2 linked regions of the Rattus norvegicus genome follow. The protein of the gene in region 2 interacts with the protein of the main gene of each other region in a biochemical or structural test. Links are inferred from orthologs where the notes say so. Each region holds a gene or a part of one and is shown on either strand. Other genes may lie near its edges. The genes, in order: Txn1 and Map3k5.

Region 1 (15,293 bases), on a different chromosome or scaffold from region 2:
TTTCATGTGACAGGTGTTACTTAAGAATAATTCCTTCTTGAGAAACTAGAACTTGGATTTATCTAAAGAACAGTGAGTTTTGATCCATAGGGCAAAAGCCAACGGTTGATTAAACCAGGATGATCCCAACTCTAGAGACCCTGTTCATAGCACAGGGAAGGTGCTGGAGCGCTGGAATGTCGGTTAAGAGTGTTCCTACTCCACCAGAGAAGCCTCACTCAGTACCCACTACCCATGGCTCCAGCTCTAGGGGGTCTCATGCCCTCTCTGCCCCAGCAGATGCTCACACAAATGAGATCCTAAAACAGCAGACGCACACAGAATGCTATGCTAATGGCGACCTCCTGAGTAGGAGGTGGCTCTCCTGGACTCTGCCATGGGGTCAGAGATTTTCTCGAGTTTCGCTCTAGACAAACTAATTAAGTGTTGCCTTCATTTGCCCCTTGGTTAGGTAACTTGTGACTTCCCCATTGCCTAACTGTGTCCTGTGAGGCTCCTTCAATTTTTGAGGCTCCCTTCACCAACCCCTAAGAATCAACTGTCTATCACAGAACTGGTTTTGAAGTGAAAACATTTTTACTACAAATACTATTTCCCTTTCTTTGATTTAGTGTAAATATGTTAGTTGTGTGCTAAGGATGTAACTCAGAGGCCCTGGGTCCACACGCCACCACTACCCTCAGATTAGGCAGTTAACAATATTTTATATAATATTCTTGAAGACGTGAAGACCAATGTACTCTCTTTCCACCTTATGTCATCTGATCGAGTATAATGCCTACTGTGTGCAAGATTCCTTTCAAGCCACTTTATTTGCTTCCTTTGATTAAAAAGTAGGCCCTAAGAGCCTAACCCCCTATTTTGTACTTAATTTCTCTTTGTTTCTCATTTGCATGTTTGCTTGGGTCTTTTTGGACAGTGGGGGTCTCACTGACTGGCCTGGAACTGACTGCCACCATCCAGAGGTCTGCTTACCTCTGCCTCCAGAGCGAGTGCTGGGTTAAAGACATGGTGGCACCTGGCCATGTGCTATGGAAAGCGGAAGTATATGATATGTAACAGGATGCTTCTTTCTCCCTCCTCAGGAAGCTTTTCAGGAGGCCCTGGCCGCTGCGGGAGACAAGCTTGTGGTAGTGGACTTCTCTGCCACGTGGTGTGGACCTTGCAAAATGATCAAGCCCTTCTTTCATGTGAGTGTGGGGGCAGTGGGCTTTGAAGCTGGCTACTGAGCACAAGACAGGAGGAAAGGGTTGAAAATAATGGGTGCGAGGGGTTCGCTTTATTCTCCTGTGTCACTGACCTAAAAGTAGGAGCAGGACAGCTTATGTAATATGGTTCATTGAGGACAGCTTTCAGAAGTTTTGTTGTCCTAAGTAATTTTTTTCCTTCGCATTTGATACCTGGGCCCAGTGTGCAATTTGGGCTTCAAAGTTACAGTGCCAAATTATTTTACTCTTGGGAAAACTTAACTGAGACACAGCTGAGTCCCTAATGCTTACCTAGTCTCTAGGCTGAAGTTTTAGACCTAGCTGGTGAGATTGCTCAGTGAAGGGGGAAAAAAAAGACACTTATGGCTTGCCCTACAAACCCGAGGACCTGAGTTTGATCCCTGGAATCCACACTGGAAGGAGAACCAAGTCCCTGAGGCTGCCCACGGACTTACACACACACCTGTACACATTTACAAGAATAATAGTGCAGTAACAAATAAAATAAGGGCTTTTAAAATAAATCTTTAATTAGTGTATGGAGCTGGAGAGATGGCTCAGTGGTTAAGAGCACTGGCTGCTCTTCCAGGGGACCTTGGGTTGGTTCCCAGCACCCACATGGGAGAGTCACAACATTTTATAACTTCCAGGGCATTCAGCACCCTCTTTGGCCTTTGCAGGCACCAGACACACACGTGACATACAGACATCTGTGTAGCCAAAACACCCATGTACATAAGCTAAAATTAAATAAATCTTTATTTAATCTCTATGGTGTCTCTCTTGAAGAAGCTTAAGAATGCGATTATCCAGTTCTAACGCTTGGTTTATTTTAAAATTTCTAGTCCCTCTGTGACAAGTATTCCAATGTGGTGTTCCTTGAAGTAGACGTGGATGACTGCCAGGTATGTAGTACGAAATCGGATGCTGCCAGGCATCTCCCAGTGGCCTGTCCTCTGGAGGAGTCTACTCTGTTCTTTAAAGTAAAAAATGTCCAGTAATTCTAGAAGTGGGACCCTGTCTAAGAAGTTCTATTTCAGAAGGGTTGGTCCTGTGCCAGTTATGGGCGTGACCCTAGCTATTCAAGCTGTGTTCAGCACATCCTACAGCAAGCATCTGACCGCTTCCAGGCTATGCGGCCTTTGTGCTGCATAGACCTGTATTCTACCCCCCACTACGAGATGATCATCAGAAATAAGTCAGCTTTGGCTCTAAGAGATGGTAGATTGGGTGGCACTGTGGAATTGTGAGGAGCTCTGAACTTCTCGTGTGTGGGGACTGTATCCACAGGGTTATTATAAGAATGTTCTTATTCATATGCTTGGTTTGAATCAGTGAGAGGGCCCTGGTATTATAAGAAGCATGAGAGAGCCCTAGTGCCTTAGAGAGCTGGGAGAACTTAGGGGGAAATTCACAGCCTGGTTTTATTTAGGAAGTTCGTGCCCATTGTGCACTCAGCTCTGTTCTGTGTACTTTCCACATATTGATAAACCCCACCACCACCCCACCCCTAGTACTGCTGTTGACCCTGTTTTAGCGATGGGGAAGCTGAAACAGAAGACCGGGTGTTGCAGTTGTAGAGTCCCTGGCAGAGCCAGTGTTTAAAATGAGGAAGCGTGGCTGCTCTGCCCTCGCCCCATACCTTCCCCAGGTTCTTAGCATAAGCCCTCTCCCCTCACCCAGGCCACTGGGCTGGAAAGGCCCAGGTGGGATGGAGCATCATGGCGCCTGAGGGAAGGATGCATGAGTATATTGGACTCACTGGATTCTGCTTCAAGCTAATCTCCCCTCTTCTTCAGCCCCAGTTCTCAGTCTATAATCAGATCTCCATACCTAGCCATCAGCTTGGTCCAGGTTCAGGAGGGTCGCATGAGGTGTTCAGTGGTCCTCTCCGAACATCCAGCTCCCGCCATCCCCTGACTGGTTTTTCTCAGCATACTTTCTGGCCCATCTCTGCTTGTGCTGTCTCCCTTCCCTGGCCTGTCCTGTCCTACCTGACTGAACCAGTCACAAGCTTCGCTCCTTTTTCATGACCCTGGCTTCATTTACCCCCCTTCACACTACACTCTTAGTCTGCTTTCCTTCCGAGCCTACAGTGGTACGGAGAGGAGGTGGACCCTGGGCCTGTGCTGCTGGTCGCCTGCACCTTATTAACAGTGAGGGCTTGCTTGCTCAGCTTGCTTTTCTGTGATGTACTTTCATGCTCTAAATGGCCATGTGGTCCAGCATCACAAGTGAGGTGGCTATTCAGATTGAGCAGGACCATAATTATGACGCCTATGGAGTGCCTGGCTCCTAAAGAGTAAGATGTGACTGCTTTCACAGGAAGAGAGCATCCGACATCCTAAGTGGTCTGAAACCCAAAACAGTTTTGAATGTTAGGCATCATGGACGAAACAAAGAAGTCTGTGCAAATATGAAGTCTAGAAACCCTGAAACATACCTGGTCTTAAGCATTTGACTAAGGGATACTCAAGTTGTGATACCTCTGTCACTAGTCTTAGTCAAATGCCTAAGGAAGTTACTCCCTAATACAGTTAGAAAAATGAGAGTATAACCTGCTTATCGGAGGAAAAAAGTTCTTGTTCTCTGTTTTCACAAACTCAGTCTGTCCGTTGCACCCTATCCCCAGCTTCTTTATGACAACAGTTCTGAGTCATGGGCCACCTAAGACTATCAGAAAACACTTATCTACATTGCAAGTCTGTACAGTAGCTAAATTAGTTAAGTTTATGATTGGGGTCACCTCACCATGAGGAACTGTATCAAAGAGTTGCAGCAATAGGGAAGTTGTTAACCACTGCTATATGGTTACTGAGCCAGGAGAAATTCACTCAAGGTTTAGCTCAGTTGACCCTGTCTGATAATTCCAGTCACTGAAGTCTCCTGGGCACCTCCAAGGTTTAGCTCAGTTGACCCTGTCTGATAATTCCAGTCACTGAAGTCTCCTGGGCACCTCCAAGGTTTAGCTCAGTTGACCCTGTCTGATAATTCCAGTCACTGAAGTCTCCTGGGCACCTCTGTGTGTGTTTTACCTTGAGCTGCCCACAGTCACTGAGTAGCACAGGCAATGACAGAGGCAGAGAAAGGACAGGTCCTTCTGCCTCAGTCCTGACCCCTACAAAGACATGTAAAACAGCTGGGGACACGGAGTGACAGCACCTTCAAGTCTGCTTGGGTGTCTTTTGAAACTTGAAGTGACCCTGTGACCAAATGGAAGCCTTTAACTTTGGTTCCATACTCTACAGACCTAAGCATAGAGAACCTTAACAGAAGTTCCCTAAACACCTGAGTGGAGGGAGTCCTGTAAGCAGCTCAAATGGACAATTGGGCCTGTACCCATAGCACATAGGAAAACAAGGAAATGGCTACCACACAGAAAGTAACATGGAGGCCCTTTTGACATGACACCACCGATCATTAAGTGTAGGTGTTACAACCCTTGGAGCAGTAACTGGGCAGAATCAAGACTTAGAATGATAATGAGACTGTCATCCAGCATTACTGAAGTCCTGGGTATTGGCTTGGCATAGTTAAAAGGTCAGCACTCCCAAATTTAAATTTAACTCAGTCTGAAGCTAATGTATTTAGAGAATTTATGGTGATGCTTTGAAATAGTACAGGCATGAAAATCTGGACTGTGTTTTTAGAAACAAAGGAGGAGTGGGGAGAGAAACATTAGTAAAAGTTGTGCAAATATATATTAGCCACATTGATTAAAACATTGTTTTAAGCCAAGACTATTTAACTATATGTTAATAATTTACTTTTTAGAGTTAAGCTGTTGCTGGTCTATCTTACTCTCTATTACATAAATCTAGAAGATAAAATTTGTAGGGCAGTCATAGGCACTGTAAAAGAGCTTTCTCTTTTGATGCTGAGCAAAGAGACTGCAGTCCTGAGTGGGGCCTTGTTAGCTGGGGTATATGAAGTCTGTCCTGAGTGGGCAGGGCTGGTGGGTTTGATGGCATAAAAGTCATGAGACCAAAGCACAGTCAGGAGTTCTGCTTATGGGATTGGTGAATGGGAGGAACAGGTCAGTGTGTGGGGACATTCATTCATGAGGACTGAAAGTGCATTAGGAAATACCACTGTTTCTAGGTCAAATTAAATTCTTGGAGTTTGGTTCACTTGGGGCTGAAGAGATGGCTCTGCGGTTAAGAGCACTTACACAGAGGACCCAGGTTTTATTCCAGCACCCGTATCAGATAGCTCACTGAAACTCAGGTTCTAGGGAATCTGACACCCCGTAGGTATAAACACATTGCCCTAGTGTGGGTGTTTTGATCTGTGATGAAACACATGACCAAAAAGGTTTATTTTGGTTACATTTTGAGGTCACATTCCATCACAGGGAAGTCAGGCGGGAAGCTGGAGGGGATGCTAGAGCAGTGCTTCCTGCCTGGCTTAGCCAGCTTTCTTCCAGCACCCAGGACCCCCTGCCTGGGTGTGCTGTGACCTCCCACATCAACCACTAAGAAAAGGCCCTAGAGGCTCCTACAGCAACAGAAGCAATTCTTTAACTGAGGTTCCCTCTCCTCAGTTAAAGGACTCTAGCTTGTGCTAAGTTGGCATAAAACTAGCCAGAACACACAGAAGGGAATATAAAAGACCTTTAACAAATAGAGCATTGCCATTCACACAGTGGTTGCTGAGGGGTGGTAAAAAGGTGGGTACAAAGTCCATATCTGAGGGTGTAGGTATATGTGGGGGCGGGGCTACAGTGCCTGTAGCACACGCTTTGTAAAGAAGGATGTGTGGTAGGTCATGAGTTGATAAGATTAGTAAAGAATGGGCTGCCCCCAGCTATTCTTCATGAGGCAGATTGTAGAATTTTCTGCAGCCTAGTTCCATTTTGTGTTTTAAAACCCCAGAGTATGTATTTATTCATAAGTATACGTACATAAATTGGAAATGATCTAAAAGTCCAGTAAGAGGAATTAATTATATTGTGAAATAAAATACCATGCCACCTTTAAAAAAATTGCTTTGACACAGAAAAATGGAGGGGGGGTGCATTTTTAAGGTACATTCCTTTTGTGTGTAAGTGTTTTGTTTACAAGCATCCGTATGCACCGGTGTGTGTGCAGTGTCTGTGGAGGGCAGAAGAGAGCATCAGATCCCCTGGGACTAGAGCGGCAAATGGTTATGACCACTGTCAAACCCAGGTCCTCTGCAAGAGCAGCCAGTACTTCTGACTGCTGAGCCTTCTCTCCAGACTCTATTAGAAAGTTGTTGATGCTTTAATTAAAAATGTACTGTATGGGGCTGTTATACAAAATGTAGGAGTATAAACACGTAGAAGTTATCATTAAGATTCCTTTTCCAGTGTCTATGATTTATTATTTGTTTGTTTGGAAGACAGGGTCTTAGAGCCCAGACTGGCCTTTAAGTGGCTATGTAACTGAGGATGGCCTTGAACTCCTCATGCCCCTACCCCCACTCCCCTAGTATTGAGATTACAAGTGTGTGCCATCATGCTTGGCTAAGAGTAATTTTTAGGCTGTAATTCAATGTGTGACCCTGATCCCAGCTTCATGGTGTGCACCTGTCATCCCAGCACTCAGGAAGCTGAGGCAGGAGAATCTTGAATTGAGGCAGTTAGGTCTCATACCTAACAACAGGACAACTAGCTAACTATGATGCCTATCAACCCACACCTACCTGATGGATCCTCCCAGCATCCCTTAGTCCCTATGTATTATAGGGTATGACTGACATACCCCACACCCTATCCTAAACTTCTCCAGCCCAGGGGCTAGGCTGTTCTTCCCCCCAGCTGTCCTTCCTTATTTAATCCAGCCATTTTGGTTACCTGGTACTTTTTGTTAACCCTTTACTCTCCTGGCTCACCCCTCCTCCTCCTTTCAGATGTCTCTGTCTCTGGCTGTGTTTACCTTTTATATACTATCAACCTCCTGCACCATACCTCGGAGCAGTCGAGTTCTCCTTGTTTATTTCTTTCTTTTTTTCTTTTTTCCATCACTGGCCAGCCTTGGCAATGTGACAAGATCCTATCCAGAGAGTTAGGAATGTCGTGTGGTTATAGTGTTTGCCTAGAATGTGCAAAGCACTAGCTTCCAGCCCCAGAAACAACAAATAAAGATTAACCAGCTCTTACAGTCATCATTTCTATATACCCTGCCCCGTAATAAAATTGGAAAAACTTATTCAAGAACTTAGTCGAGCTAAACAGCGCAGTGAATGGCTTAGCATTAGCATTCCGTTTATTAATGCCTGTTAATGGAGGTAGATATTAGTAAAATGTTTTCATTGAGAATGCAACGTGGTAGGCTTTTTTCTGCTGTTGTGTTGATGTGCTTAAGAGGTTCTGAGGCTGAGGTTTGGGACATATAATGGAAAAGGGGACGTTTTCAGAATTTTCCACCTGTGTTTAATGTTCCAATCCTTGATTTCATCCTCTCTTCCGACCACCTTCCCCTGTGTCCCAGGATGTTGCTGCAGACTGTGAAGTCAAATGCATGCCGACCTTCCAGTTCTATAAAAAGGGTCAAAAGGTATGTATATCTGGATTTAAAAACACCGACTGTACCTGGGCATGGTGGTACACACCTTAATCCCAGCACTAGGGAGGGCGGCAAAGGCACACACAGGTAGATCTTGGGAGTTGCAGGACAGGACAGCCTGGGCTTCCCAGAGGAGCCACATCTTTAAAACAAACAAACAAACCACCTGGGACTAGGTGTGGTGCAGACACTGGTGATCCCCGCCCTTTGGGAGTAACCTGGGAGAGTGCAGAGGGGTCAGGTCAGGATGTGCTGCAGAGCAGTCAGGCCCTGTTTCAGAGAACCAGCCGTGGCTGGGGTGGCTCCTGCCTTCTATCTTAGCACTCGGGAGGCAGAGGTGGTGTGTCTCTCTGAGGCTGGCACGGTCAGTCTACAGAGTGAGCTTCAGGACAGCCAGGGCTGTTAAACAGAGAAAGCACTTCAGCAACACCCAGGAAAAGAAAGAAAAGAATAGTCAAGTGGGCCAAAGACTGTGAGTCATCCAGGAGACGGCGCTGCCATCTTGTTTCATGTCAAATAGACCCTGGTGTGCTGTTGTATGCTTATATTTCAGAGCTTAGGAGGCCAAGGCAGGAGGCTTGCCACAAGTCCGAGGTTAGCCTAGGGTATATAGTAACTTACTAGCTAACCTGGGTTTACCAAGAAAGACCCCTCTAAAACAAAACCAGAAATAACACTTCAGCCAAGGCACATAATACGTGCAGAAAGCACTGAGGAGACGTCCACACAAGGGCGGTCTCCACTGCCTGCATCCAGGACAGTGGGGGTGGGTACGGTGCTGTAATCTCAGCACTTGGGAGGATGAACCCAAGAAACACCTTGGGTTGAGACCAGCCTGAGCACTGGAAAAGGCTTTGTTTTAAAAAGGAAAAGACAGTGTCTTTCTTCCTGAACCTAAATACATAATATGCAGCAACAAATTGAAAATTAGTCTCTGTTAAAGAGCAGTAGCAAAATCTCCACAGCTGGTTCATAATCATACCACGGAGCACATGTTCCTAGCCCTCAGCAGGTCGTCTCATCTTACGAAGAAAGAGGGCTTTATGTTTTGGGGGAAATTGCACTGGAGCCCTTTGGCTTCTCTCCTGGTTCCTTCATTTTTGCTATTAGTTTTGCCTTTTGGTTTGACTTTGGTTTGTTGTTTAGAAACTGTTACTTGAGAGAGCTTAAGTAAAACCTCCCCCTTCTACGTCCCCACCCCTGCAATTACAGCCTCTTACGGAGTAGGTGGGATAGGCGCTGCTCTGGCTAATCACCCTTTCCTCTCAACAGGTTGGGGAGTTCTCTGGTGCTAACAAGGAAAAGCTCGAAGCCACTATTACGGAGTTTGCCTAATCATGCTCTGAAAAGTGTGACCAGCTCCAGCAGGTTAAAACCTGTACCTTTTTTAATTTGCAAAAATAACCTATGAAGTGTGGAGAGTCTATACCCAACTGCCATCTGATTATAAATGACAATAAAATATTAATTCTACCCTTTTTAAAACTGTCTGGTGTCTTTTAGTATAAGTGAGAAAGGGCCCGATTTAGTCCCCTTGATCTTCAGTAACATTTAGCCACTTGCTAAAAGCCATTTGCTTTAAGACTAAATGACGGGCTGGAGAAATGACTCAGTAGTTGGGAACATTGGCCGGACTTGCAGAGGACCTGAGTTTACTCCCCAGCACCCATATGGCAGCTACCTGTTTCTCGAGTTCCAGGGGATCTGATGTCCCCTACGGGGCTCCATGGGAACCAAGTGTGTCTGGAGCACATGTACATTACATGTGGCTAAAACATTCCTATAAACCTAAATATTTAGTTGTAGAAAATCTCTTGTTTATTCGGTTACATTAAAAGTCTAAGGGGTTTGTTATTTTACCTCAGTAAACATGCTCTGTGTGCTCCAGACTATGAGCGTGACTGGTGGTTCACGCATGATGAAACTGTTGGTCTGATATGAGATGTCTGTGCCATAGATTACAGTTAGCTGCTAGTACCCTGACAGTGAGAGCTAGTTGTCCGTGAGCTTGGCTGCGGTAGTGTATGCTGATAATCCCAGCAGAGGCAGGCCTCTCTCTGTGAGTTCAAGGCCAACCTGCTCTACAGAGTGAGTTCTAGGACATCCAAAGCTAAAACAGAAACCCTATCTTGAAATACAAATTCTCCGTGTTCCACTCCAGGGCTGCAAGCATTACCATGGAGACTGGTTTTACAAGCCTGGTGTGGCATGGTCCATGCACTTGGGAAGGTGGGGTCAGAAAGGTCAGGAGTACAAGATCCACAGCTACATAGCAAGTTCCAGGCTGATCTGGGCATCCTGAAACTAAACAGTAGGGGAATGGGACCTGAAGGAACAGCTTTCAGGTTAAATTAATACTGAGAGTCAGAATTCTGTCATAAGCTAGACATCCCGTTCATCTTTGCAGTAACCGTTTCTGGTACAGATGCTAGAATCCCCACTCACCAAGTGAAGGCAAGCCTACAAGGAATGCTCCCAGCATCCCAGCTGCTCAGTGGGTCGGCTGGAATTTGAACCTGAGAGGAGTAGCCCCAGAATGTAATTAGCAGCAGCCCACGTATTGTGTGGCAATGCTTGGGTCTGGGCTTCTTGCCTCTTATAAAATTGGGATATTGGAGTCAATGATTGGAGGGACATGCTATGTCCAAGGCACTGAGGACTTGGCATAGAGCTGTAAATAAGACTTTGAGCACACTCCTTACACAGCAGAGAAGGCGTGTGTGTGTGTGTGTGTGTGTGTGTGTGTGTGTGTGTGTATACATGTATAATTGTGTACAAACACACACACACACACACACACACACACACACACACACACACACACACACACCAGCTATATGAGGTACATTTTGTGAGGCAAAGAGAACCAGGAGACTGGCCACAGTAATAGAACAGGGAGACCTGCTCCCGATTGGGTGGTTGGGTAGGGTTCTGTGAGATGACCGAGCTGAAACTTGATAGGTGAAAAGGACTCCAATTGCCAAATGCCAGGGAGTCAGCTTTCCAGAGCAGAAACCAGGCACAAGGGGTCCGAGGTGAAGAGGGTGGTGCAGAATCCATCCAAGCATGAAAGAAAGGTGGATGGAGTAGCATGGCCCAGTCATCCCAGGCTTCACTGGCACAGGTAATGGGAAGCCATTGGAGGGTAAATGGTGACGGTAAAGAGTCTCATTTCAGTATGAGAAATGTAGATTAAAAATGAAAGCCAGGAGGATCCCTGCAGGTACCTAGGGCAGATACGAGGACAGTGGGGAGAGATACAAGGAGATGGTAGGGACGGAACAAGCAGCCAGAAGAAAACAGGACCCAAAAAGCTATCCTGAGGTTCTGAACTAAAAACCTGGGGTGCTGAGTCTCGAGAGGGGGGTCAGAGGAAGCAGGTGAAGGTAACGAAGTCTCTCTAGGAATGTCAGACGCTTTCAGAACGGACATTCAAATGAAAAGGCTGTGATGGTAGCTGGGTACTTACCTTGCGCTTACTGCAGCACTAGGCGCAGAACTAGATCCCTACGCCAGCACTCGAGAAAAGTTCCACAGGGCTGGACGGGAACAGGAACTGAAGACGTTATTATTAGATGCCCTTTAGAAACATTTGGGAAAATCAAAGAGAATCCAGAGTGAAGGGCTCCAGATAGAGCCTAAAGAACTCCAACTTTAGAGAGGGGGACGGGCGGACACACACAGAATAGGGAGAGACAACGGAGATTATCAGTCGGCCAGAGCGGAAATGGGGGCCAAATGGTGCTGAGGGATTTGGGGAGGTGAGGAGCAGGAGGAATCTTAATGGGCATCGGCTGGGGTGGGAGAAGCAGAGAGGGAAATGGACAGACGCTAAGCAAGTGCTGCATGTACAGAAGGCTGACGTTAGAGCTTTATCTCGCCCTATATAAAAATCAACTCAACACGGATCAAAGACTTTACTGTAAGACCAGAAACAAGCCATGTTTGGTCGTGCGCACCTATCCTGGTAAACTATCCTGGGCTACCTAAGAGCCCCTCTCAAAAGAAAAAAAAAATCAATAATGAAAGAGCAAAGTGGGAACTGATAATGAATGCAACAGAAACTCCTATAGCATGATGGGAACAGAAGCGAGATTGCTGGGGACAGACATCATTATCCTACAAGAAGTCACCCTTGTTTGTGCAGAAACATGTCCAGAGCAGCACACATGATAAGCATGAACAAAGGCACGCATTCATCAGTCCACTGTGCCGTGCTCTTTCTCAACTGGTTGTGATAGGACCAGTTCCTTCAAGCTCTTGTCACCTTGACGCCAGCAGTGATGGACAGCATCCACAGTGACCCCAGCAGGATTGTGACCTGCATTGTGAGCTAAACAAACCCATTCTCCCTTATATTGCTTTGGTCAGGGTATGTAGAGTAAATGCTAGTCATACTGAGATAGAAAAAAGTGTCTCTAAGACCAAGTGCAGAATGATATTAAAAACAGACTAGTATGATTGTGTGTGTATGGGACACAAGGCATGCTACCTATCCCTATAAGCAAGTGTATATGTAAATTATCAGCCAAAGCTTTCTGAGGACAGATTCCAGCTAAGCACAGAGGTAACCGAGGAAGGAGTGTCTCGTTTTATCTGTAAGCATTTGGGCGTTTCATAACAGCAACAAACAATTCCAGGTCACAGTTCATTACTGCTGGAGGTCAAGGTGGCAGGAGCTTGATGTAAATGGTCACGTCACATCCGCTGTCAGGAGCAGAGCATATAGGATTAATGAATGCACACCTTTGCACAGCTTACTTGCTTTCTCCACCCTTAGGCAGTCCAGGAAGCTCTCTGCCTAGGGAATGACGCCACCCACAGTATCAAGATAACCTCCCACAGACATGCCCAAAGGCCAGCTGGATCTTGCTGCAACTGTCTTCCCAGGTGATTCTAGGTTGTGTAGAATTGACAAATAAAACTGACCACCCATGGATTTAAAATGTGGAAAGATGAACAGAAAGGAAAGAAATGTTGGCAGGCCAAAGAATTTTGCTAGAACATAGAGCTGACTGGTGGAGGTCAGAGGCAGTGTGTGTGTGTGTGTGTGTGTGTGTGTGTGTGTGTGTGTGTGTGTGTGTGTGTGTGCGTGTGTCTGTGTGTGTCTGTGTGCGTGCGTGTGTCTGTGTGTGTGAGTCTGTATGTGTCTGTGTGCGTGAGTGTGTCTGTGTGTGTTTCTGTGTGCATATGGGCGTGTGTGTGTGTCTGTGTGTGTCTGTGTGCGTGTGTGTGTCTGTGTGTGTGTGTCTGTGTGTGTCTGTGTGCGTGAGTGTGTCTGTGTGTGTTTCTGTGTGCATGTGGGCGTGTGTGTGTGTCTGTGTGTGTCTGTGTGCGTGTGTGTGTCTGTGTGTGTGTATGTGTGTGTGTCTGTGTGTGTCTGTGTGTCTGTGTGTGTGTCTGTATGTGTCTGTGTGTATGTGTCTATGTGTGTCTATGTGTGTGTGTGTGTCTGTGTGTGTCTGTCTGTCTGTGTGTGTGTGTCTATGTGTGTGTGTCTGTGTGTTTGTGTGTGTGTGTGTGTGTGTGTGTGACCATTTGGTGGGTTTGCCAATATATGAGTGGAAAGTAAGTGAAGTGACTTACTGTAAGTCAAGTGACTTGCTTGACTGTAAGTCAGCAAGGATTCCTGTAAAAGGAAGTTTCCTTTTTAGTCAAGAAAGAATGGAAGGATGTTAAGCCTAACATGGAAAGGCAAACACTATTTTATATCATCTGTGGAATCATAAATGGTCAGACTCAGGGTGTCATAGGGAAGTTGGGAGCAATGGGGAGACATTTCTAAAAACAAAACCTCCTGCACTTAACAAAAATGGCGTCAGATCTCCATCCTGGTTAAGTTTTAGGCTTTATGCATTCTGGATACCAGTACTTCAGTGATGTTGTTGTTGTTGTTGTTGTTGAAAATTAAGGAGAACACAGAGTTCAGCTGTTTGTTAAAGCTGATGTGACCTACACCTGTGATCTCAGCATTAATGGCTGAGGCAAGAAAATCATGAGTTCCAGGCAATACTGGGCTACTTGGTGAAACCCTGACTCAAAGTAATAATAAATTGATAATAAATACATTAATAATGAAACTATTATTATCGCCTGACTGTGGCTACCACATGCCTGTAATCCCAGCACTTAGGAAGTAGAAGCAGGAAGATCAGTAGTTGTAGGTCAACCTTGGCTACCCAGTAAGTATGAACACAGCCTGGGCTACTACAGACTGACCCTGTCTCAAACAAAAAACAAAGTACTGGGACAATTTTGAAAGAATTAAGTCACCATTATTCTTTTTAAGTTTCCTTTTATTATTAATTTTTTTTTACATCCTGCTCACTGCCCCCCTCCCAGTCATCCCTCCCACAATCCTTCCCCCAAACTCCCTGAGCAAATGGGGGCCCCCTGAGTATCCCTCCACCCTGGCACATCAAGTCTCTGCGAAGCTAGGTGCTTCCTCTCCCACTGAAGCCAGACCAAGCAGCCCAGCTAGAAGAACTTATCCCATGTACAGGCAACAGCTTTTGGGATAACCCCTGCTCTGGTTGTTTGGGACTCACATGAAGACCAAGCAGCACATCTGCTACATATGAGCAGGGAGGTCTAGGTCCAGCTTGGGTATATTCTCTGGTTGGTGGTTCAGTCTCTGAGAGTCCCAAGGGTCTAGGTTAGTTGAGCCTGTTGGTCTTCCTGTGGAGTTCCTACCCCCTTAGAGGCTGCAATCCTTCCTCCTGTTCTTCTATAAGGTTCCCCAAATTCCTTCCACTGTTTGGCTGTGGGTGTCTGCATCTGTCTGAGACAGCTGGTGGGTGGAGCCTCCTGTCTGCAAGCATAACAGAGCATCATTAATAGTGTCGGGGATTGGCGCTTGCCCATGGGATGGGTCTCAGGTTGGGCCAGTTATTGGTTGGCCATTCCCTCAGTGCCAGCTCCATCCTCCATGCCTGCATTTCTTAGGATAAATTTTGGGTTGAAAGCTTTGTGGGTTGGTTGGTGTCCCTGTTGCTCCACTGGGGTTCCTGCCTGGCTACAGGAGGTGACCCAATCCCCAGTGCTGAGTCACAGCTAAGGACACCCCCCCCATTGATTCTTGGGTGCCTCCTTTATCCCAGGTCTCTCTCTCTTCCTGGAGATGACCCCACCTCCTCACCCCGGTCAGTTGCAGATTTCCATTCATTCTCTTGGTCATCTGGCCATCTCTCCTGTCCCTCCCAACGCCTATCCTGAGCCCACCCCATTCCCCTCCCTATCCTCTCTCCCACCCAGTTCCCTCCCTCCATCTGCCTCTTAGGACTAATTTATTTCCCCTTCTGAGTGAGAGTCAAGCATCCTCACTTGTGCCTTCCTTCTTTAGCTTCTTGGGGTCTGTGGAGTGTAGCGGGCGTCCTGTATTTTATGGCTAAGATCCACGTATAAGTGAGTATGTTCCATGCATGTTCTTCTGGGTCTGGGCTACCTCACCCAGGATGATATTCTCAAGATCCGTCCATTTGCCTGCAAAAATCATGGTGTCTTTGTTTTTAATAGATGAATAGTATTTCGTTGTTTAGATGTACCACATTTCCTTTAT
Region 2 (14,939 bases):
CTCTCCTTACAAGGTGTTTACTAACTGCAAAGGGAAAATAGTAACTCTGATGGGACAGGGGGGTGGGGGTGGGGCTGGATATTTCCTCAGCCAAGGACGTATCAGCGATAATAAGACCCACACATCGTGCACCTCTTGCTATGATGGGCACACAAAGGGCACAGCATCATGTCTATGATAAATTAAAAAAAATGCAGTCTATTTGATGATGACATTTTATCAAGTATAAAGGGCATGGTATACAATATCTGAGTAGCTCTCCTTAAAGTTCTTTGCAGGCTAAGGCAGGAAGATTATGGGTTCAAGGCCAACCTGGGCTACAGAGACCCTACCTGAAAAAGACTAAGCCTATTTGGGGGGTTAGGGAGCAAAGGTCATGAGAGCACGGGAATAGTAGTCACAGACTGGGAGAGACCAGAAGAGCCATTCCCTCACTGTAGTGAGAGAACATCAATCAGAAAAGAGATAGATTTAACAGTCACTGTGTCAGGGTATGCTGTCAAGTGGGTCTGTCATCCCAACCTGTGGGAGGATGAGGCAGGATGGTGGGGGCCACAGAGATCCTGTTCTTAGAAATGAAGGGGGGGGGGAGAAAGAGAGAGGGAGAGGGAGTTAGTTGTCAATATTGATTTCCTGGTTTGGACAGCAGTTCTGAAACAAGACGTTAAGTGTAGGGCGAGCTTCTGGTAGGTACAAGGGAACACCCTCTGTGTTATATAATTTCTCTGCTACTGTAAATAGCATGTGTTTCGAAATAAAAGTTCAAGAAGTGTTTGGTCTCCCTGTTCCAATCTGATGGCACAGAACAGAGTGCAGTGGGAGTGCGTCCCTGAGGAGTTCTGTTCTCTGGCTGTCCTGAAGATCACTGGGAACATTGAGTATTCCTTGTTGCCTCTCCAGTGTGGTGGTGACCAGGCACAGAAATGCTGAGCATAGACGCCATGGTGGCCTTAGGACACTAAAAATAAAAATAAATAAAAAATAAATAAATAAATAAATAAAAAGATAATACAGATCCACTTCTTTTTTTTTAAGACTTTATTTATTTATTATATATGAGGACAATGCAGCTGTCTTCACACACACCAGAAGAGAGCATCAGATCCCATTACAGATGGTTGTGAGCCACCATGTGGTTGCTGGGATTTGAACTCAGGACCTCTGGGAGAGCAGTTAGTGCTCTTAACCTCTGAGCCATCTCTCCAGCCCCAGGCCCACTTCTTGCTCTGAGAATGATCTTTAGAGCCCTGTAGGTGCTCTTCCCGCCCGCCCGGAGGACCAATCTGAACAAACGCGTAGAAACTCGCCTTTCCTTGGAAGAGCAGCTTGGGCGGATCCCATGGGGGCTGATACCACCTAACGCATGGAGGCCAACAGTCAGCTGGTTGCGTTTATTAATACCGTGTTTTGCCGCGTAGAGTTGAGGCCACATTTCAGCCTCGCGTCGGAGAGCGACACGGCGGATCCGGAAGACTTGGATGTCGACGATGAACACGAGGAATCGCCTTCGAATCAAACCGCGCGGAGGCCCCAACCCGTCGCGGAGGATGCCGTGGCTACCTCAGGGGTGAGCACGCTCAGCTCCACCGTATCCCATGATTCCCAGAATGCACACCGCTCGCTGAATGTGCAGCTTGGGAGGATGAAGATGGAAACTAACAGGTAACGGGAGGGTGCGGGCTCGTTTCTTTTCTTCTCCTTCCTCTAACAGTGAATAATCCGGGTCTACTTTAAAGAGTCTGACCCACGGGGCTGGGTGTGGTGACGTGTGCCTTTAACCCTAGCACTGGAGAGGCAGAGGCAGGTAGATCTCGTTGAGTTCAAGGCCACCCTGGCCCACAGAGTGAATTCCAGGACAACCGGGCCACAGAGGAACCTTGTATATAAAAACAAACAAAATTCTGACCCACAGACCACACAGGATGGTCCTCTCACCCCTGCTCAGAAAGCTAACTGCTTTTCTGTGTCAAATACCAGAGGTTGACTTGAGCCTCTTGTAAAATGGTGCTTTTCGAGCACTTACCTGCTGCTTTACCCCGGGTACCCTGGGATTTACAGAATAACTGAGTGGTGACCTCATGGGGACCCTCTTGGAAACAGACTCAGGCAGTCCGGTCCTTCCTGGAGACAGAGATCGACCATGACTTGGGATATCTTATTCCTTTAAGAAAAAGCCCCTCCCCAGCTCCGGAAAAAAAGAACCAAAAAAAAAAAAAAAAAAAAAAAAAGAAAAAGAAAAGAAAAAGCCCCTGGGGGGCTGGAGAGATGGCTCAGAGGTTAAGAGCTCTGACTGCTCTTCCAGAGGTCCTGAGTTCAATTCCCAGCAACCACATGGTGGCTCACAACCATCTGTAATGAGATCTGATGCCCTCTTCTGGTGTGTCTGAAGACAGATACAGTGTACTTACATACATAAAATAAATAAATCTTAAAAAAAAAAAAAAAGCTATCACAGATGCCAAAACAGCAGCAGTTAGTTAGTTATGTATTTAAAAAAGAAAGAAAATAAAAGTAAAAAGGCCCTGTATTCAAAGGGACAGGACTAAAGTTCGCACTCAGGAGCTTGACGGTTCCTGGCCACATTTGTGATTGCGTCGTGACGTATCGGGTGCCCTGGAACCTGTCTGATCCAGTTACCCAAGAATGTCTCCTGTTCTTCACAGTCGGTGGCACAGGTCAAAGTCTGAGTACTTGTGATTTACAGCTTCCTGCACCGGTCCCTGTTGACATGTGGGAAACTGGCTTTATGGCTCTGAGTCTGCAATGAAAACTTTTTAGAGAATCAATAAAAGACGGTCAAATATTTAGAGACCTTAGTTGAAGATATAGCTGTCCGCCATGGTGACGAAGGTGACATATTTCTTACTGTAAGTTTAAGGCTTTAAAAGTTAAACTTCACCTGCTTATCGCTGGTGATTTTCGTGGGGGAGATGTTTTCGAATATGGTGGCGGTGACTCTGATAATCCACACGCCGGCCTTGTCCTCTGACACACAGCTCTGCCTTGTGCCTTTTCTGACCCTTCATTGTAGCTGCCACAGACTGGATCGCTTTGCTTCACCCGGCCACTCAGTCCTGACTACACCTGATTTTGGAACCCCTGCTCTGGTTTCTGGAGGGGGAAGCCTCCTGAATTACTGGGTTGCTCCAATCCTACCTACCATGGTTTCTGGTCAGAATAGTTTTGCAGGAACGCTACCAAAGAGCTGTTCTGTCTGCTTGTCTGTCCCTCAAACCTCTGCCTGTCCTCCTGGGCTTGTGGGTAGGACCTACATTTCTAAACATCTCAGAAGTGCATGTAGTTCTCCCTCCTCTCCTCTGCCTGTTTGCTTTGCCTCGAGCTCACCTCACTGTCCAGCACAGTCTTCTGTCTGCCATGTTTATGACATCTGCAGTTTCCCGGAACCCCAGTTTTCTTCATCTGGTCACAGGTCCTTTCTCAGGTCCTCTTGGCTCAACCTGAAGTCTTGCTTTCCGAAATCTATCCATTTCTATAGAGGGGATCCGCCATGTTTTGTATTGCCCTCTGACACAGCTACCTTTTTGTCATAATCTACACATTTGTGTTTTCTCTGCACTCTCTCAGTTGAATCTGTGAACTCTAAGGACTACTGGCCTCCTCTTTCCTTTTTAGGTTTTTCTAAATTCCCCAAACCATCAGAAATGTAAGGTGAGATTCAACATTTTCTTTACAAATGATCAGAAGAAGGGCAGACAGTTTACTAACAGCACTGAGCGCATACGCAGGGATTGATAATGTCTATCTTAGACCTTTTGAACATTCAGTTGGATATTATTATTTCTTAAGATTTAAATTTTTTTTCAGTCCTTTTATACAAGGTCTCATATAGTCTGTGCTGGCCTTGAACTAGGTATGTGGGTAAGGATACCCTTGAACTCCTGATCTTCCTGCCCCTACTTCCCAAGTACAGAGACGATAGGCTACTACCTGGACTTATCTCCAGTTGAATGTTGTTATGGGAGGGTAGCTCAATGACAGGGTGCTTGCCTAGCAGATACAAGACGCGCGTGTACATGCCTGCCTCTGTGTGTGTGTGTGTGTGTGTGTGTGTGTGTGTGTGTGTGTGTGTGTGTAGGAGATGTGGGTGTATTTTAGGAAAGGGGGAAACTCTGGTGTTAAAAATCTTAAGCTTAGGGGCTGAAGAGATGGCTTGCTATGCAAGCAGGAGTTCAGTCCCCAGCAGCCACATAAAAGCTGGACACAGTGTCACCTGTCTGTAATCCCAGCACTGGGGAAGACCCTTGGGGTTTGGTGCCCAGCCAATCAATTTGCATCTGTGAGCTCCAAGTTCAGTGAGAGATCCTGACACAAAAGATAAAACATAGCAAGTAAGAAAGCCATATGCCATCCTTTCCTAGCTCTCTGTAAATCAGCAGGGTAGACAAAGATACATTCCAGACCAAAATCGCCCAGTGAAAATCCATTCAGAGTTTGCTCCCCATACTGGGGCACCACACCTGCTGGGGTTGATACAAAGTCTCTCTTTGGCCCTTTGCTTTCAGCCCCCGTTGTTTAACCCATCTAACCGTGCACAGGATTTTCTCTGCAGGGCTCTTTGCTTACCTATCTTCTTTAGCCCTCCTCTCTCTCTTATTGTGCCTCACTTTTGTCCCACCTCTACACTCACTTCTGCTGTGACCCATCTCCTTCACGAGGGCCTCATCTTTAGGTCCTGCATGGAGGAGATCTTGGGGCGCAAGCTAGGGGCCTCTACTTATATATGTTGTCTCATGGAATTCGTACAGTAATCCTTCCTAGGAGTTTCCTAACGAACAAGAAAACTGAAGCCGGGAGGCACTGGGCAGTGTCTAAGATGAACACAGGAAGTGTGTGGCAGTCTACAGGTGCAGGCTTATCTCGAAGTTACAGCATGCTGTCTGCTCAGCATGTCAACGGAAGGAAACCAGCATTTGGCTGTGCACGGTCCCGAAGTAAATCTATCAGTGGTCATAAAATGAAACAGAGCTGGCTTGCCAAGAGCTGCGGGCTATTTAATAATTGGTCTTAAAGGCCTTAATAATTATGTATTTTATTTTTTGAGATTTGCTTAATGTGTATGAGTGTTTTGGTCACATGTATACCCATGCACCTCGTGTGTGCCTGGTGCCCTCAAAGTCAGAAGAGGGTATTAGATTTCCTGGAACTGGAGTTAGAGGTGGTTGTGGACTGCCGTGTAGGTGTTGGGAATCAAACCTGGGTCCTCTGCAAGAATAACATTGTGCTCCTCAACACTCGGCCATCTTTCCAACCCCAATGATTATATACGTTATAATTATATGCAGAACTGTGAATAAGGATTACCCAGGTAGTGCCAGGACACCAGCTCCTGTAAGCTGTGTAGTGATTCCTCACAGAAACAGGCTGGACAGTGCGAGCTGGCCACTGGTTGGTTCTTGGTTGCTAGTGGGCTTTCCACAGGCAGAAGTCATGTTAGAACCTCAGAATTTATCTTTGCGTTTTGGGACCACACCAGACCCACCTTAAGAACTGAATGTACCAGAAACGGGGCTGTGCTTTTAAATGCTTGTTAGCCTAACCCAGCCTAAGAAGGGAGGAAGAAGATAGCAGTAATGGCTACAATTGTAACAATAACCATTAACTTTTATTGAGCCCGATATAAGAGGTAGCCTCGCCTAAGTTATTCCTCAAATTTTCATAGCTTAAGGATGATTGCAAGTCTCCACAGGTCGGAGACTTGTCTACAGAGAGCTCATGACACATGCACTCCCTGACTTCAGACCAGAGCCACTGGTACCCACGACTGACTCTTTTATTTCTATAAAATCCCTATGCTTGCTGTAGCTTGGGAAAGAAGGCCGAGCTTAGAAAGGCACTGTTACCTCCTGCTTTCTTATCCCGTCAACCAACCAGAGTCTCTCTCGCAGATTACTTGAAGAGTTGGTTCGGAAAGAGAAAGAGTTGCAGGCACTCCTTCATCAAGCCATTGAAGAAAAGGACCAAGAAATTAAGCACCTGAGACTTAAGTCCCAACCCATAGGTAAGCAGCAGAGGATTTCAGAGTTGTCCCGTTTAGGCACGCCTGCTCAACCAGGCTGCCACAGAAGGCTGGGAAGGCTAGCAGGCAGCTGCCCCTCCCCTCACCAGCTGGAAGTCCTTTTTAAAGATCTCCTTCTTAACTTTAGTAACTGCTCATCTTCTATGAGCACAACAGAAATGCATGCTCGTGGCTACTCTTTCAGAGATAATGCATTATTGAGGTAAACAAGATTCTCCCCTCTTTTAGTCCTTGTCAAGATTTCACAACGCTGGCAGCGTCTGTGGATCAAGCCTTTAATCCCAGCACTTGGGAGGCAGAGGCAGGTAGATCTCTGAGTTGGAGGTCAGCCATAGCTGCCCAGAGAAACCCTGTCTGTGGGAAAAAAAAAAGAAAAAACAAAAACAGTCAGAAGATTTCACAGTGAGAGCGCGAGAATCAAACAATGCTACTCTGTGTCAGCATATTCTGGCTCTCCTCCTTTCAAATCTGGAGTGGCGTCCATAAGATAAGCTTACAGTAAGAAAAGGCCATCGTTTGAAACAGGGAAGGAATAAGCATTAGGAGAACTCACAGCTGAATCTCATTGGCTAATTATTGGGACGTTGTAGCTGCCCTTCCTTGTTTACTATTTGGCCCTTCTGTATTATTACAAATAGTCAAGAAAGAGACTGTAATTGTATAGTACTCTGCTAACTATTTCTCTTGGCTGCAGGAAAACCACAAGGCATGATCGGTGCACGCAGAGTTAGTTTTAAGAAATTATATGAAAGTACAAAGTACATTTTATTACAGTGTGACTTCTGACTTCCCATTTACTGGTAGAATTAGCTTGTCTGAGTTTTATTTATATTGTCATGTAGCCAGCTAACTTGTTCTTTTTTATTAGTCAGTCTCTGACAGCCTTTAATAGTTTAAAATGAGCACAAAATTCCCACGGATCCTGAGGGTTCTACATTGCTTCTGTGAAACTAAAGATTCTCCCCACGTTTGGTTCTAGATACCCCTGGGTTTCCCGTGTGCCACCTGAACGCTCCTGGTACAGCCATTGAAGACTCTGAACTTACTGGCTGGCTGAGGGAAAATGGAGCTGACGAAGACACTATAAGTCGGGTAAAGAGGCGCTATCTGTGGGACCTGTGGTATTTCAGTTCTCTATGTACTGGCACCTTAGGCACGGGAGACATACTTCTCAGCGAGTCAGAGCCAGTCCCACCCTACAGAGGTTCATACATTACAAGAGACAGATGAATTCCCCTGATTTAAAAAAAACAAAATAACAGTCTTACATTAGCAAATTCTGACATGGAGTTTGCAGGGCTCTGTGTGTGTGTGCACATGGGTCTGTGTGGTGTACATATGTGTGTGTTGTATATGTGTGCACATGTGTCTGTGTGTATGGTGTTCTTGTCTATGTGTGGTGTGTATGTGCATGTGTGTGGTGTGTGAGCACATGTGTCTGGTGTGTGTCGTATATCTGCATACGTGTGTGTGGTACGTATATGCGCGTATGTGGTTGTGTGTGTCTCTGTGTGTGTGTGTCTGTCAGTGTGTGTGCTGTGCTTTTCTGTGGTGTGTACATGCATGTGCGTGGAGTATGGTATATGTGGTGTATGTGGAGATGTGTGTGGATGCATGCATGTGTGCATGTGTAAGGTTCTCCCAGAGTGCAATGAGTGACTCTAAGGTAGAACGTACTATAAAGTTGGCCAACTGTATACACTGGGACAGGACAGACCAGGAAAGGAAGTTGTTCTCCATGGGGTGGGGGATGCACAAAGGCAAGGAAGTGGATACCGCATAGTTTTTCATGGCCTCTAAGGATTCTGTTGTTTACAGAAGGGAAGTTAAGAAGAGCAGGGAATGAACAGGAGTACAAGGGAAATGGCTCCCTCTGCTGCTACTCCTTAACCTTTTAATTCTTTTGCAGTGTTACTAGCTCTGCTAGGCAGTGGCTACTCATTGCTACTTGACAAAAGTAGATGTGGCTGGGGAATTTATGTCAGAAATACTCGCTATGCAAACCACATTGTGTCTATTACAGCAAATTCCTCTCTCACCACCATACTCTTACAGTTAGCATGTAAAGCACGTGACGTAACATCACATGTATAACGTGTGTGTGTGTGTGTGTGTGTGTGTGTGTGTACTATTTGAGAGTCGGAGAGAGATCTCTGCAGTCAAGAGTGTGTACAGTTCTTATAGAATACTGGCGTTTGGTTCCCAATACCCACATCTGGTGGCTCAAAACCACCTATCACTCTAGCCCCAGAGGATCCAGTGCCCTCTCCTGGAGCCCATACATGCCTGCATTCTGAGCACATACCCATGTGCAAACACACATCCTTACACAGTTAGAAATAAAAACTCCCTTTTTTAAGTTGTTGTATTTTCCATTTGCAAGAAAAGACAACCTCTTAATAATACCATACTGTCTTCAGATGTATGCATATACATTTAAATAACCAAAATAAACTTTTATTTTTGCAATATATGAACGACATAAAATCTAGGGTCTCCTTAGAGACATACATTTAACAATTTACTGCTACCTAAGTCAAAGTAACTCTGTCACTAGGGGAAAACCATACACCTGACCAAGTTCTCCAAAATATTTATCCTCTCGGGCTCAAATCACAACCAAGGGAGACGAAACAGTGACCCGCTAAGTCATCTTCCCTTTCAGCTGCTATAATTAAAAGCTCCATTTCCACCCAGAACTGGCTTTGCAGGGAATTACAGGGAGGTCTGTGTTGCCGGCTAAGGAAAGTAAGTTTAGAGACTATGTACAGGCAATAATGTCCCAAGAATACTGTCTGACTGCTTGGGAACAAAGAGCTATGGAGAACGAGACTTGTTCGATGCGAGCCGTGAGTGGCCTGCGTGCATAACGACAAGCAGGATTAAGCCTGCGTGCGTCACCTCTAATCTGTGAGCAACGGGAATCACATCGACGTGTTTCTTTCTGAGGCTGAAGTCAGAAGGCTTTTCCTCTGCTAATTCCAGAGGGTTGTTGTTTTTAATAATGGCTTTCCTTTTGGGTTCATTCTTGATTATTAGCAACGCTTGCCTTGTGGGCACATTTTATTTCTTCCTTCACGGTACATGCAGCTCACCGTGTGCATGCTTCCCTCTCTCGGCAGTTTCTGGCTGAGGATTACACGCTGGTGGATGTCCTTTACTACGTCACGCGTGACGACTTGAAGTGCCTCCGACTAAGGTATTGCTTTTCTTCCTCTTACATTTGGTTACCACGAGGGAAAGACCCTCAGTTTACAACAGGAAGTCTGGGTCCTTGCCCTGGGGGGGTCTCTAACCAGCGCTGCGGCTCAGCAAGGGCTGGGTCTGGTTCTCAACCCTCACGCTAAGCTAAATTAGCTGGGCGAGGCTATGTGGGGAAACTCTTAATAACTAGTATCTCTGTTGAGTATGGGACAGTCAACGGGAAGGGATTTCTTAAATAAGACTGCAGACCGAAGTCACGCAGATCCCATTCAGGCTTCCGTGAAGAACTTTAAGGTAGCCTGTGGTCCTCTGGTAAAATAGTGGGAGTGGTTACTTACTTACCAGCTGGAACGATTTGTATCATCTGGTACAATTGCTTGTCAGTTTTCTCTTCTGGTCCAGGTAGATCCGTAACTTAGCAACCATCTCTAAATAGACACATTTGCTGGGTGGTGGTGGCACATGCTGTTAACCCCAGCACTCGGGAGGCAGAGGCAGGCAAATCTCCATGAGTTGTAGGCTAGCCTGGTCTCCAGAGCGAGTTCTAGGACAGCCAGAGCGTCATAGGAAAACCCTGTCTTGAAAAAAACTATACACACACACACACACACATATATGTATATATGTATATGTATGTATGTATATATGATCACATTGGAAAAATGCTCAAAATGTAAAATGATGTTTTGTCCTCGACACTTTCCGTGGTGGAAAGGAAAGGACTGAAGAAGGGTGGTGGGAAATACTATGCACACGGAACACGTGAAGCCTGTTAAACCTGGGGTCTTCCCGCTCACCAAAGGAGCTGAACGAGAAGAAGTCCTTTTTCCCTCTCAAGGGCATTTCCAAGTGAGAGCTTTCTTCAGCTTGTTCTTCTGTCTTTAAACAGGGGAGGGATGCTGTGCACGCTGTGGAAGGCCATCATTGACTTTCGGAACAAAGGGGCCTGACTGCCACCAGGGTGACCTTGACTGGAGATTCTGAACACTGATAAAGAACTGCTCTCCTTGTGGGAGGAGGAGTCGAGGGGAGGCGAGGAAGAAGCTGCACTTTAAATCCAGTATTTGTTTACTCAAAAACGAAAGAAAGAGATAAGACACACTGAAATCTCCTAACTTCCATTTCTACAAAATTCCTACGGACTTTTCGGAACAATCCTTATTAGAGCTGTAATGTCGGGGCTTTTTAGCCTACACATTTTGACGGAGAGGTTTTTCAGTCAGCAGCTATCCATTTCAACCCGGTGTTTACCACGGAAAAGACAGAACGTTTCGTGTGACTGCGTACCACTGGAACAAAACCAAAATGTGACCACGGCTTTTTAGGGTTCTCTGTGTGTGTAGTGCCCGAGTGTCTGAGCAGAAAGGCATCATTTCAGTCGTTGTATAAAGTTGTTTTTTTTTTTTTTTTAAGTGGGCAGAATCTAAGAGTAATGGTTTCTACTCTGTACTAATTGTCATATTGACTGTATTTTGTAACTTGTTTCTGGCCTAGGGTGTGTTTGTTGGAGGGGTTTATGTACTACTGAACGGTACCACTAGCACATGCCTGGATCGTAGTGATGTTAGCTTGTTCTAAAGCTATCCGTTGTGTCATATTTACAGAAAAGTAAAAAGATTGCCGGAATGCTACTTTGACAGAGTCCAGAGAATTCTTACTTTGTGCTGATGCACTAAATGACTGGGTTAAATTTTTTTTTTGTTGTTGTTGTTTTGTTTTGTTTTTCTTTTGCTTTCATCTATGACATCGAATAGAATGTGATTCTGTTCAGGCAATGAAAGGACAGTTGGGATCCAGATTGTCCCTTGGGGACAGCAGGGTGTGGGGCGGGGGGGGGGGGGGCGCAAGAGAGCGGTGAATATTTTAAACTCGATGTCTTTTCCCCATGACCCCAAGTTACCTTGAAAAAGTAAGACACTGTACCATATCTCAAAGTGGTTTGCAAGAGGATCCTAATGGACACCACTGTCTTTTCTGTCTCCTTAATGTGGTTCTCACATCTGGGGAAATTTTTTGAGCCAAATATTATATTTTTATGAGCCTTCCTTTGTAGCCAGGACGAGGTGTGAAGCTCCTAGGTAGATAAATAAAATTAATTTCCTATATACACAGGGATGTGTATTCCATAGCATGGAAACAATGCAGAGGCGTTCAAGTGTCATGATTTGACCCATAGAAAAGTCTCCAATAAAAGAGAAATGGCCTTTATTTCTATGTGAAAATAAAAGTACAATGTGTCATATTGCATCTGAGTATATAAAATAATTCTCTTGAAAATGTTCTCAATTGACAGCAACAGGGTTGATCTTCTTTAAAACACCTCACCCCGGGGTTGGGGATTTAGCTCAGCAGTAGAGCGCTTGCCTAGCGAGTGAAAGGCCCTGGGTTCAGTCCCCAGCTCCGGGGGGAAAAAAAAAGAAAAAAGAGAAAGAAAAAAAAAAGAAAGAAAACACCTCACCCCTGAGGACAGATCATTAGTCTCTCAGATCCTCTGCATTAAGACGCAGGTTGTCTCATTAATTTTAATGTTTTAAGTGCTTCTTTTATATTGTGTGTACATAGGAGCAAGCTACCCATTTTCAACCGGTCCTTCATATAGTTTTTCCTTCCTTCTCCCCTACCTCCAGTGTCCGTCTGTCTGTCTCTCTGCCTCCCTCCCCACTCTGCTTCTGTCTCCTTGTCTCGAGCCTTCCTAACACACACTGTGTTCCCAGATCACCTACCATTGTGGATTAAGGTTCATGGAAGGTTTGTACTAGGAAAGACTTTACCTTCAGTATGCCCGGGCTTCTCGACCTAGATTCATGTTCAGATGACCTAGATACTTAGTAATATCACAGAGCACTCGCTTAGCCCTGTGTGAGACTGTAGGCTCAATCCAGCAACACCATACACAACCACAAGAAGGCTTTAAGGACCAGGCACCTTGGGACGGGAGAAATGGCTTAGTGGTTAAGACCAGCTTCCCAGATCCACAAATCAGGCAGCTTATAGTAGCCAGTAACTCCAGCTCCATGGGTACCTAAACTCAGATGCACATACACACAAGGAGACACATGTACATATACGTAATTTAAAATAAATCTTTTAAAAAAATAAAGCACCAAACACATCTTTTAAATTCCCCATCAAGTGATGATCAAATCATACCTCATTTCTGGGTCCAATGAAGAGCAAAGTGAGACACGGCTCCTCTCCTAGGCGGGGCGGGAGTGAGGCAGCTACCTCACTGTTAAGTGTGGAGCCCAGAAGGAAGCTCTCACCTAACTTGGGCCTTTGGCAAATTCGCCTCTCTGTCTCAGTTCCTTCCTCTGTGAAATGGGGAAACGGCGTGCCTTCCTCAAAGGGTTGTTCTAGGAATGAACTGAGGACAGCACAGGCAAGGTACTTAGGGAATGCCCGGCATACAATAAGAGCCCAGGGGCTGCCCATCCTGGGATCGTTGCCACTCAGAAGCATTTGATCAATACTGAGGGCCAATGAGATGACTACTTCAGTGGGTAGAGGTGTTCACCATGCAAGCCTATGATGATCTGTCAGAACTCACACAAGAGTGGGAGGACAGAAGCAATTCCACAGTTGTCCTCAGGCCTCCACAAGTGTGCAAGATGAATTCTGCACACACCGTGCACACAACCGGGTAAATGCTACTGGAGAGGCCATGCTGAGGCATATGAGTAAGAGGTAGTTCTTACCACCCAGGCTCCACCATCAGAGAGGACTCAAGAGCATAGGAAGGGTTATGGATACGAAAGCCAGAACGGAATCAAGAAAAGTTTTTCAAGGCTGAGTTGAGCCTGGGAAGATATTTAGAATAGAAAGTTATGCAGGGTTGACGGTGCCTCTATTTTAAGAGAGAATGGATTTTCCAGAACCCCATTTAAATGGCTCTGATGACAGAGATGCTGTAGCACCATAGAAGAGAAATGAATGACACCCACCACAAGTACATGATGTCAGCAAGGACACTTCAACCTGTGCACAAATAACTCACCGTTCCAGACTTTATGGTTCTGCCGTCAAAAATATGCATTGAAGACCTGGGTTTGCAATAAATCTTCCCACATCTCATAGGCTCGGCAAGTGTTAATCCCAGCTGTCACTAGTCAAGTTCAGAGGGTAAAGCCCACTGAGCCAGGACAGGAGGACATACTCCATGTAGAATCTTAACCTGGACCTTTCAGTAGTTATACTAAGTCAGGACCAGGGCCGAACACGGGCATTCGAAAGGCCAGAGGGGGATCTGAACCATTTTGAGGAAAATGAGTGAAACCCATTGGGCAGAAATTCAAATGATCGTGGCACAAGTTAGAAGATGAAGGGTTCCAAGGACCTCTCAGGAAGTAGGGATGGAAGGAGGCAGTAAGGTTAGCATCGGGTTATATGGAAATAGGGAATCTATTAAAGAGGTTTTGAAGCAGATAGAGCTGTGTAAAGTGGCTGTGTGTTTGGTGATTGCTAATCTACTGACACGGTGTAAGGGGGATTGAACTGACAGGGCAGTTCTGAGCCTGTCTCAGATCTGGAAGAGGGTCCGGCGTGAGTCATGCCAATGGGAAGCGAGGGCCTCAGGAATGACTCGTAAAGATTTGGGAACTGTGGGCAGTGCTGATGAGGGAGAGGATGGGGTAAATGCTGAGCTGGATGGGTAAGAAAGAGTCACAAGTAGGAACTCAGCCGGGATGATCTGGATCCGTTGGATTCATAGCAGAGTGTCATGACAGTATTATACGAAGAATATTGCAAATAGGCTGGAAAGGTACTTCAGTCAGTAAAACGCCTTGTAAACTGAGGGCCTGAGTTCAACTCACAGAAAATCAAACAGAAACAAAGCCAGGCATGGTGGTGTGCATGCTTGCAACCCCAGCACCGGGGAGGTAGAGACAGGCAGATCCTTGGGGACTTGCTGGCCAGCCATTGTAGAAGGAAGCTCTGGATAAAATGAGAGGCCCTGTCTCAAAAGGTTTACACTGTCCTTCCGACCAACCACTTCCATACATCCATACATGCACACCCATGAACGAACACACACGCATACACAAAAGACTAAGGAATGCTTTGGAGAAGGTTGGTACTGAGGTCAGGAGAATACATTCTAGACTTGAGAGTCACCCAGGTGGAGGGTCCCGAGAGACAAAGCAGAGATAGGGAAGGTGTGGCTTAAACTCTGGAGAGTATGAAGATCTCTGGAGGAAACAGAAGAGGAGAGTTCTACACCAACAAAGGAGTCTGGGGAGGAAGTAAAGCCTGGTTAGTGAGGAGTGAACCAGTTGAGAATAATGCAGGATCCTAGTCCACAACATGTCTAAGGGACCGTCCCCCTACCATCCCAGCCATCGAGGTGGAGGCAGGAGACAGGAGACAGGAGACAGGGGAACAACTGATAGAAAAGCACTTGATATTGTGACTTGGGAAGCCACTGTAGATGCGCGAGAAAAACTGTAAGTTACCATGGCCCTAGGTGAAGGGGTATCCAGAGGATAGGGAGAAAAGGAGGCAGAAAAGAAATGGTGCCAGAGGCTCTGCTCTCCCCCTGGGGAGGGGAAGTGGGAGATCAGAACTTTGTGTGAACTCCAGGCAGATGGCTTCTGTGTCCCTTAGCAAAAAGTACAGCCTCAAGGACAGTATGGTGGCATCTGACATTCAACAGATGTCATTCCCTCCCTGAATTAACCATCTACACTGCAAACTAGGTTTG

What was found.
Region 1: the proteins of Map3k5 (region 2) and Txn1 form a complex in vitro, tested with the Homo sapiens proteins (3 studies listed by BioGRID). The link is inferred for Rattus norvegicus from reciprocal best matches to the Homo sapiens genes MAP3K5 and TXN.

Annotation. Positions count from the first base shown.
Region 1 is NC_086023.1:77,501,244-77,516,536, reverse strand, and holds the end of Txn1 (thioredoxin), read left to right. Parts: intron 1-1,085; coding exon 1,086-1,190; intron 1,191-2,053; coding exon 2,054-2,113; intron 2,114-7,660; coding exon 7,661-7,726; intron 7,727-9,007; coding exon 9,008-9,070; 3' UTR 9,071-9,082; downstream 9,083-15,293. UniProt on the Homo sapiens protein: Participates in various redox reactions through the reversible oxidation of its active center dithiol to a disulfide and catalyzes dithiol-disulfide exchange reactions.
Region 2 is NC_086019.1:16,713,028-16,727,966, forward strand, and holds the end of Map3k5 (mitogen-activated protein kinase kinase kinase 5), read left to right. Parts: intron 1-1,418; coding exon 1,419-1,662; intron 1,663-5,906; coding exon 5,907-6,019; intron 6,020-7,016; coding exon 7,017-7,129; intron 7,130-9,159; coding exon 9,160-9,236; intron 9,237-10,130; coding exon 10,131-10,191; downstream 10,192-14,939. UniProt on the Homo sapiens protein: Serine/threonine kinase which acts as an essential component of the MAP kinase signal transduction pathway. Plays an important role in the cascades of cellular responses evoked by changes in the environment.